Drosophila melanogaster: one gene and its partner. The protein of the gene in region 2 purifies or fractionates together with the protein of the main gene of each other region. This does not show direct contact. Each region holds a gene or a part of one and is shown on either strand. Other genes may lie near its edges.

Region 1 (3,773 bases), 7.6 Mb from region 2:
CAGAATTTCGTACATTGTTTTATACAACCCGTTCTATAGTTTCCATATAGTTTTTGGCAGAGCAGCCGATTTATCATATAGGAAAGAAGGAAAGTAAATGAAGATTGGAAGTACCATATAAGAAAACTAGAACTATGCATGAAGAGTATAAATGAAAGAATAATGAAAATAATGACTTACACATAACAAAATAAAAATAGCAGTGGGAGATAGTTTTGTTATGAAATTAAGTAACTAAACAAAAAACAAGTAGTTCATAATTACACGTTAAAACTTTTTTATTCATAGTTGATGGCATCACTTAATGAAAACAATATCAATAAAAATAAACTAAAATAAAAAAGAAGCCCACTCAGTAAACTCATATTACTTTACTCAATACAAATACTTCAATGTATTATAAATATATACATACGTACAGACACATTTGCAGCGCAAATGCATTGCATAAGCGCTGGCAATGGAAAACATGGGCAAATGGTTCCACCTTTTAAATTTCGAAAATTCGATATCGGAATATCGAAAAAAACTGGCACCAGAATGTCAAAGAATAGTCAGTAGGGTCTGTTATGTTTTGGGGATGCGTAGCCTTCACTGTCTTGGGAGATTTGGTTCCTGTTGATGGACACATGAATCAAATAAAATATTTAGATGTCCTTAATAATAATGATGATGAATTGATTGGAGAGTCCTTCATACTCCAGCATGATAATGCTCCCTGTTATAAGACCAAACTGATTACTGTTTCTGAAAAATGTTTGCATAAAAACATTGGATTGGCCACCTCAAATTCCAGCCCTCAACTTAATAGAATACCCTTGGTTTAGTATTAAAACAAAGGCGTGCAAATACTTATGCCCACTAGTGTAGTATTACCTACCCAATTTCGCTTCTAAAAGGTTCTGATCACCAAAAGGCACAAAACACGTATAAAACTCGATAAAGAGATTTGTTTATTTATGTTCTTATTTTTAAGCACTGCCCTTCCCTTTAATGGAATTGACTTTAATGGTATTTACTTAAGCTTTGTAAAAAGACTGTGCGAAACGCAATGATCTAACTCAGCAACATAGTCAAATAATTCTTCGATGCAAGTCTCAGTTGTTTTGGATCGCCCATTAACACGATCATTGCACTCTTGGTACTTATTGTACAAGGATTCTATGTGACCTTTAGCTTGACATTTTTCCTGTTGCATAAAAATCAGTTTAGTGTTATATTAAATGATGTAAAGAAATCTTTTTTACCCTTAAAACTGCTTGAGGGTCAACTAAGTCCTCTTCGTCATCAGCTCTGACGGCGGGAAGCGAAAACCAGTTCCTAAAAGCCATTATTAATGCTAAAAAGAGAATAAACTAGTCAGAATTCAAAAACATATATAGTACCAAATTTTATGAATATGAACGTAAATTACATTTTTGAAAAATAACTATAACCTTTAAGACCGCTATGATGCAATCACAATGTATTTTATGTATGCCTGAATTATGAGGGCCAGACCAACAAAAACAGATTATTTTATGCATATATATCAATTAGCTAAGCTTATAGCCTAGCCCCAATAGAATACATCTTTATGAACCGTTTGCAATTTTACCTAGATGTTAAAATCTGTTCACACAAGGTACAATCAAAGCAATTAAAATAATTTTTGGCCAGTTGTCCGCCGTGACGGGGGTCAGATAATTTTTTTTAGGCTATAAACTTTTATTTAAAACTTTTCATAATTTTTTCCTGATTCCCTTGATACATGTTTTTGGAGGCAAACATTTAAAAATGACGTGGTGTTTTTAAAACGAAATTCAATCAGCTAAAAGCTGATAAAAAAAGTGGATAAAATATCTACTGAAAATTAATAATTACTAATTCGTTGTGGGCCAGAGTTGTCTTCTCTGTCTTTTTGGTTCTTTTTGCTCTAGTTTTTAAACAATAACTAATTAAAAGCAATCAAATAAATATATGCTTAAGTGATAGAAAGTTTTCATAAAACTGATGCGAAAACTTCTTTATTGATATATACAACTATGCGTGTTCTCTATAAAATTACACACACAAATAAAATTTGTATTGAATAGTTGTTGTAATTTGTATTTGAATAGGAACCATAGTGTGGTAAAAAGCAGAATAAAAAGACCTAAAATATTTGAAACTAACCTTAATTTTTTTATTAGTATGCGCGAGTACCTTCTTCAACCCGTGGACCATCCGCTCGCATACGCCTCCTGCCCGGCATTGAAATTTTCATTCCATTTAATTTGATGACAGTTCGTTCTACATCTTCTCCGTTTTGACTCCTCAATCTGGCCACCGGTCCACGGCAGCTTATAAAATTCCTCAGTGCGACTGTCGACAATTCCTGGGCCATCTTTAGACCCCGACTGCTGCTTCCCTGAAGTACACACACTTCCGACAGGAACGTGTACTGCAAGAAACCTTGAAGCAGCTCCTAATCCCGGGACTTGGCTGCGTCATTATAGATTACGTAGATTATACGTATTTTGGTAGGTTCATTTGGATTTTCGACACCGAAGTGTGGCAGACACTGTCACTGTCACTGTACGTATCATCTTGACATAGCCATTTTCAATTTCTCTGTATGCTGTCAATGTTGATGACCCTCATATTATAGCTGCCTGTCAGCCTCACCTCGTAATTCTTCCATAGCAGACCAGTTAAGGATTGTAAGCCCACAGTAAACTAAATTCCATCAATCCTACAGAACCGCGCCATATGTCCCTTTTCTAAGCACAGAAAATAGATTCGATGCTTCTTTGCAAAGTTTATTCGAGACATTAGAGACGCATGAGTAAACAAAGACACTAGAATAATTTTAAAAAATGAGGAAAACCTAAAATGGTTCAAAAGTGTGTTTTGGGCGTTTTGTTTGTGTTTGCGTGACCAAAGTGTCTTTGGTATGCCGATTAAAATGCCGGAAGACAAACAATAAAACGAAGAAGAATCAAACATTTTTCAATGGTAAGGTCGGTTTTGGGCGGTTTGTTCACGCTAGAGTGGGCATGGCAAAACTTTTTTTTTTGCAAAATCGATAAAAGACTAATATTAATACGAAATAATATAAAAACATTTTTAAAAAGTGTGGGCGAGGCAGTTTTTGGCGGTTTGTGGGCGTGGCAAAAAGTTTTTAGGAATACCGTTAGAAATTTACAAAACTAATACTGTTTAACTAATAAGCTCTTCTATTAGCTATTTGCAAAGAAAAGACGATTTCTATGCAGCGATCTCGAACGATAATTTATTTTTTTATCAATTGCACGGGTCCCACGGCCACACCTCCCGCCCAACCGACCGAGTGGCGCTGTCGTGTATTGTTTATGCATAAATTACTAAAGAATATGATGAATAATTGGAGAGCGACTTATTTGCAGAGGAAACAGCAGAACTCCAAGTCAAAGGTGTAGGTGCGACCAAAGACACTAGAATTGCATGTGGTATTGACTTGACCGACGCACAGCAGTTCGTAGAAGAGACTAGCGCCAATCATTAAGTCTATGGGTAGAAAACGATGACACTTTGGGTCCGCGAGCGTCAGATTTAGGAATATGTTTCAGCTGAAAATGTCAATGTTTAGGCACGACTGACTTTCAACGACATTGCAAGCAATGGCAGCAGTAATGTCAGTCGAGTAGTTATTTACTGACGAACCATCTGCCTTAAAACTAGAATCGCCAATTGCGGTAACACAAGCTGCCAATAATGCCTTCATAAGTTGAGCGCCGTCTCTCTTTACAACGCAACCATGCATACATTGCTTT
Region 2 (4,515 bases):
TTGATTTATTTTGTGTGGTAAGCAATAGCTTAACTGCATTTGTTGGGAAAGTTTGAATGATCCGATGATGTAATTAATACATATGAATATGTATTAATCAATCAATTATTATTGTTTAATGCGTAAGTTGTGCTTGTAATAATGGTCATTTATTCACGGAAATTTCTAAGAAATGCATATGTTCTCTGATTATTATAAACTAATAATAAACTACTAAAGATGTAACTTTTTTGTTTATATTAGTAAGCTGTGAAGTTAGGTAGATTTTCAGGCTATATGAAGGATTAGACAGTTGCAGGACTATCAGTTGATGTTTAAGAATATTTATGGGATCCTTCATGTTCGTATAAGCAACACTAATCAGAAGAATAGGTAGACTTGTCTCAGTGGCTTATCCGAGGGCTTAAAGGTAGTGCTGCTATTTCTAGCCCTGCAATCAAGTCACGTTCGCTGGGTGTTCTAATGCAATATTTTAGCATAAGAGCACGTACCGCAGTATTGCATAAATTCTGAAAGTGCCGGGCAATGAGTCAGTACGGGATTGCAGAATGGAGCCAGCTGAAGTCGGGCGTCTATTGAATTCTAATGCTGCACCAGGAAGTGCGTGCAGACATTGGGCAATCAATCGCCGGTCAATTGGAATCGTTTGTGGATAGCAATTGAGTGTGATTGGATATGGCTTCTACTCCGGCAATTGGGGCAAAAGTTCAACAGTTTTTGGATGAGAATGCCTGTTCCAAGTAGGACTTACTTCGAGTATTCGAATAACCTATCTTATCGCAAGACAGCTTGCCAAGAATCACAGTCGCCTGATGATGAAATTAACAAATTCTGGGCTCTATTTTTTTCTTCTTTTTTTTTGCACGATCCGTGGAAGTCTCGGGGGCAGTCAAACCAGTTCACCCGGCCTTCGAAAACAATTATATTTTTGGGGTTGGGCGTGTTGTTGTGCAAACACCTACGAAATAACACGATGACCCTGAGACCGAAAAAAGCACGAGTACGTTCTAGCACCCAAAATATTACACATATAATGTACGTGACGTCACTGCCTCGAGGAGTGCTCCAAAAACCATAGAACTGAAACAAGATGCAAGGTGGCTTGTGGTAGTTATTATTAATCCTTAGCGTACATTACATTATGAGATATATTAAACACTAAACTGGATCCATCTACGTGACAGAAAAGCTGCGAAAATTGTTTTTCAGCAGCATGACCACGAAGAAAATGCCCACGGCAATCGACAAAAGCTGCACGTTGACCACCTTTGAGTCCACCAGGGCCTGTAGCATGTTGTGGATACTTTCGCTGCGCACTTCGTTACCGCAGCAGTCCATTAATGCACTAATATCGGATCAATAACCAATTAGAACGCCAATATTTTGCTTGCAAACAGCTGTGCGGTGGCTAGAGGTGGGGCTATTTACTTTTCTCACTCATCGATTGTTTCGGGTGACTTTCGATGATTGATTCTCTGCAACTCTAGCGGGTGACTATCAATGCTAAGACCGTTACCGAATATTAAAAACAAGTAAAATTTTTATTTTATTATTAAAACGTAATATATTGCCTCCATGTCGTGTTTTTTCTTTGAAATTCTCATCATATGAATTTTTTGTTATTTTATTTTGAGACATTGCAGGGCGAGATAGCTTGGACTCAAACCAAGACTGGGGAACAGCTGATGCAGCTGCTCATCCAGAAAAACAAATTCTCTCTAGAATTGTTTAGCAAACAGAGCAATAAAACTGATAAAATAGAACATAAAATTATCCCATGTGTAACGTATGAGTACAAAGCCTTTGGTGTTTAGCCTTCCAGCAACCGAAACACACAACTCTCTTGAACTGTGGGTTTAGTTTTATTAATTAGTTTAACATAACTATCTGCTAGTTGGGACGCTTATTCGTCGTTCGCGTAGTCAGCGGGGTTCTTGCGCAGCAGGGCGGTGTGCTTGCGTTCGGTCAGATCGTAGATCAGGTATCCCACGATGAAGGCTGAAAAATTGGGTATTAGAATACGATTCGACGGGAATCCTGAGCGATTTACTTACGGGGAGTAACGATGAAGACGTTGGAGCGGAAGCGACGCACCATGTTGGGCAGTCCCTTGCTGATCGCTCCAGCGAAGGCGCGCTGCTCGAAGGGCGACAGCTTGTAGGTGACGATGCCGTGCACCTTGGCCAAGTTGCCAAAATGCTGGCCATTCAGGATCGAGGATAGACGCATGGTTGTGGGGCTGCGGATGGGGAAAGCTTTGATTAGCAACCGCAGAGGAAGTGCACCAGGATTTGTATGAAGACACAGATCGTTATTATAAACATTATGGCCTAGGTGGTGCTCCTATATTTGCTGCACCCGGAGGTTATGTAATTTTCGCACTGCTCCGCGGATGAAGGCGGCCGAGTACGTCTAACACTGGGCGCGATCTCTGCACTTTTGGCAGCCCATAATTGTGCATATTTTTAGAGCCAGCACCTGCCATTGTACCGATTATGATGCCAAATTTTTACCTTGAAATTCGACTTTTACGCTGCAATTTCCTCTCGACTCGTCTCAACCAGTGTGACCGTGGACGGGCCGCTTGAACATACCAAGCAGTTAGGCTTTATTTTTGAAAAATGTCCTAAAAGTGCCGCTTTTTAAGATTGATGTCTTGGACAGAAGCTAAGTGCAGGCCACCACCAGAATGTGTAACTTTGTAGACTTTCAGCGTGGACTTGAACCTAATTTGTGTGGATAGCGGATCTTTAAACTATTAGTGGATTCTTATTAAAATATAACAATAAAATAATGTAAAACATAATTGCTTACCTTTGCCGTAATAAAATATGTGAGCGGCTTAAAAACTTAAATTTCGTGAACGAAAAGATTATATTTATTCAAATTAATAGACAGAATAGACACATGGAATTGTAAAATCGAGGGCTACTTATCTTTTTAACTTCATTTTCTGTGATTAGGCATACAAAGTATTCAAACTTGCCCACTAAAGATGGCACATTCATCTCAATATATGTAAAATATCATATAAATAATTTTATTGTATTCAAAATGCATTAGATTAAAATGAGTTGTCAAGCAAGAATACTTTTCCTGCCATTATTAGCCTTTTATACGAATGTTGAGATATAGTTTATACCTTTATTAATGATTAACATTTATACAGCTATGAGATGATGCATCTTACACTTTAACAATTATTTGCGCGATCAGGACTACGCAAATAGACAAGATTTCACATAAACGGCGGCATCTGCCTACATCCGCTTACAAAACATAGACGAAGGTCCAATACAGAGCGTTGAAGGCGAGGAACATGGCCGGAAAAAGAAATCGCGACCGCCGGTCTATCCACATGGCGATCTCCTGCGGTGTCATGGTGGTAAAGGTGGGCGGCGTGTCCTTTTTATCCTTGTCCACATCCACGATATGATCGTTGTTCGTACGCGCACTGCAGATAGACACTGTATCTGCCTCGGCGCACTCCGTTCTTATGATGGGTAAATTGGGCTAAGGACATGAGAAATGTTAAAATACAGAAAGCTCATGAAAGACATCGATCTGGAGTACTTACATGCACTGTCAAATAGTTGTTGAAGCCCTGATTCACAGTGCCATTGCCATTGCGCACGCTCTCCGTGCTGGAAACAATGTTGTCCAAACTGGAACACGATCTAGCCCTGGACTCGTTGCTCAAACTTCCGCCAATTTGACGGCGGGCCGGTCGTGGTGTCAATGTGGATTTTATGATGTACTTGCTGTTGACCTTCTTCAGCTCAATGTTCTCCTTGCGGCGCCAAATGGTGTTGACAAAGGCAAACTCCACCAGGCTGCCGAAGATGAAGAAGGTGCAGCCCAGGAACCACACCTCCGACACCTTTATGTAGCTCACCTTGGGCAGGTTCTTGCTCTGCGATGAGGAAAGCGTGATGAACGACAACATGGTGCTGGTTCCTAAGAGCATTGGATATTAGTTACAAGTGAGTCATATCATAATCATTTCGAGTTACTAAATTCTTTCTAAGATGTTGTAATTATTCCTTTAATTTAAGCAATCATTTATTCTATGACTCAACATGACGTATGCGCAATGTTCTAAATGAATATAACACATACGCACTGTGTTGCAGGTCAACAAATTAATTATGGATTTCGAATACGAAATGTTGCTTAAGTTAATAGTATTTAAATGTAATTACCCAGCATAATCCTTGGAGGAGATGCGTCCGCCTGAAGCCAGAAGGACACCCAAGAGATGGCCACGATCATCATGGAGGGCAGGTAATAGTCGAGCAAATAGAAGCCAATTTCTCGCTTCAGATTGACCGTAAAGCTCAGCGAACTATAGTTACCAGCTGCAAGGAAACAGTATTAAGAAATATTCCTCCAACAAACACCTCGTATGCTAACCAAAAGCTCCATGCCGCAGATTGTCCCCATCCGACTGCACAATCGTAGTGTTGTGCCAGAACTGGGCCATATTGTACTCAGTGAGCCTCATTTCCGGGTCAA

The links.
Region 1: the proteins of UQCR-Q (region 2) and UQCR-11 fractionate together in Drosophila melanogaster (co-fractionation; one study listed by BioGRID). This does not show direct contact.

Annotation. Positions count from the first base shown.
Region 1 is NT_037436.4:25,118,460-25,122,232, reverse strand, and holds UQCR-11 (Ubiquinol-cytochrome c reductase 11 kDa subunit), read right to left. Parts: upstream 1,485-3,773; 5' UTR 1,415-1,484; intron 1,356-1,414; 5' UTR 1,332-1,355; coding exon 1,248-1,331; intron 1,190-1,247; coding exon 1,016-1,189; 3' UTR 862-1,015; downstream 1-861.
Region 2 is NT_037436.4:17,473,134-17,477,648, reverse strand, and holds UQCR-Q (Ubiquinol-cytochrome c reductase ubiquinone-binding protein), read right to left. Parts: upstream 2,601-4,515; 5' UTR 2,514-2,600; intron 2,430-2,513; exon of another isoform or gene 2,325-2,429; coding exon of another isoform or gene 2,262-2,324; exon of another isoform or gene 2,240-2,261; 5' UTR 2,230-2,239; coding exon 2,055-2,229; intron 1,999-2,054; coding exon 1,904-1,998; 3' UTR 1,525-1,903; downstream 1-1,524. Other genes in the region: CG34250 (uncharacterized protein), read right to left, coding at 1,023-1,080, 1,178-1,338; CG46525 (uncharacterized protein), read right to left, coding at 2,262-2,324; SecCl (secretory chloride channel), read right to left, coding at 3,271-3,513, 3,578-3,957, 4,203-4,358, 4,414-4,515.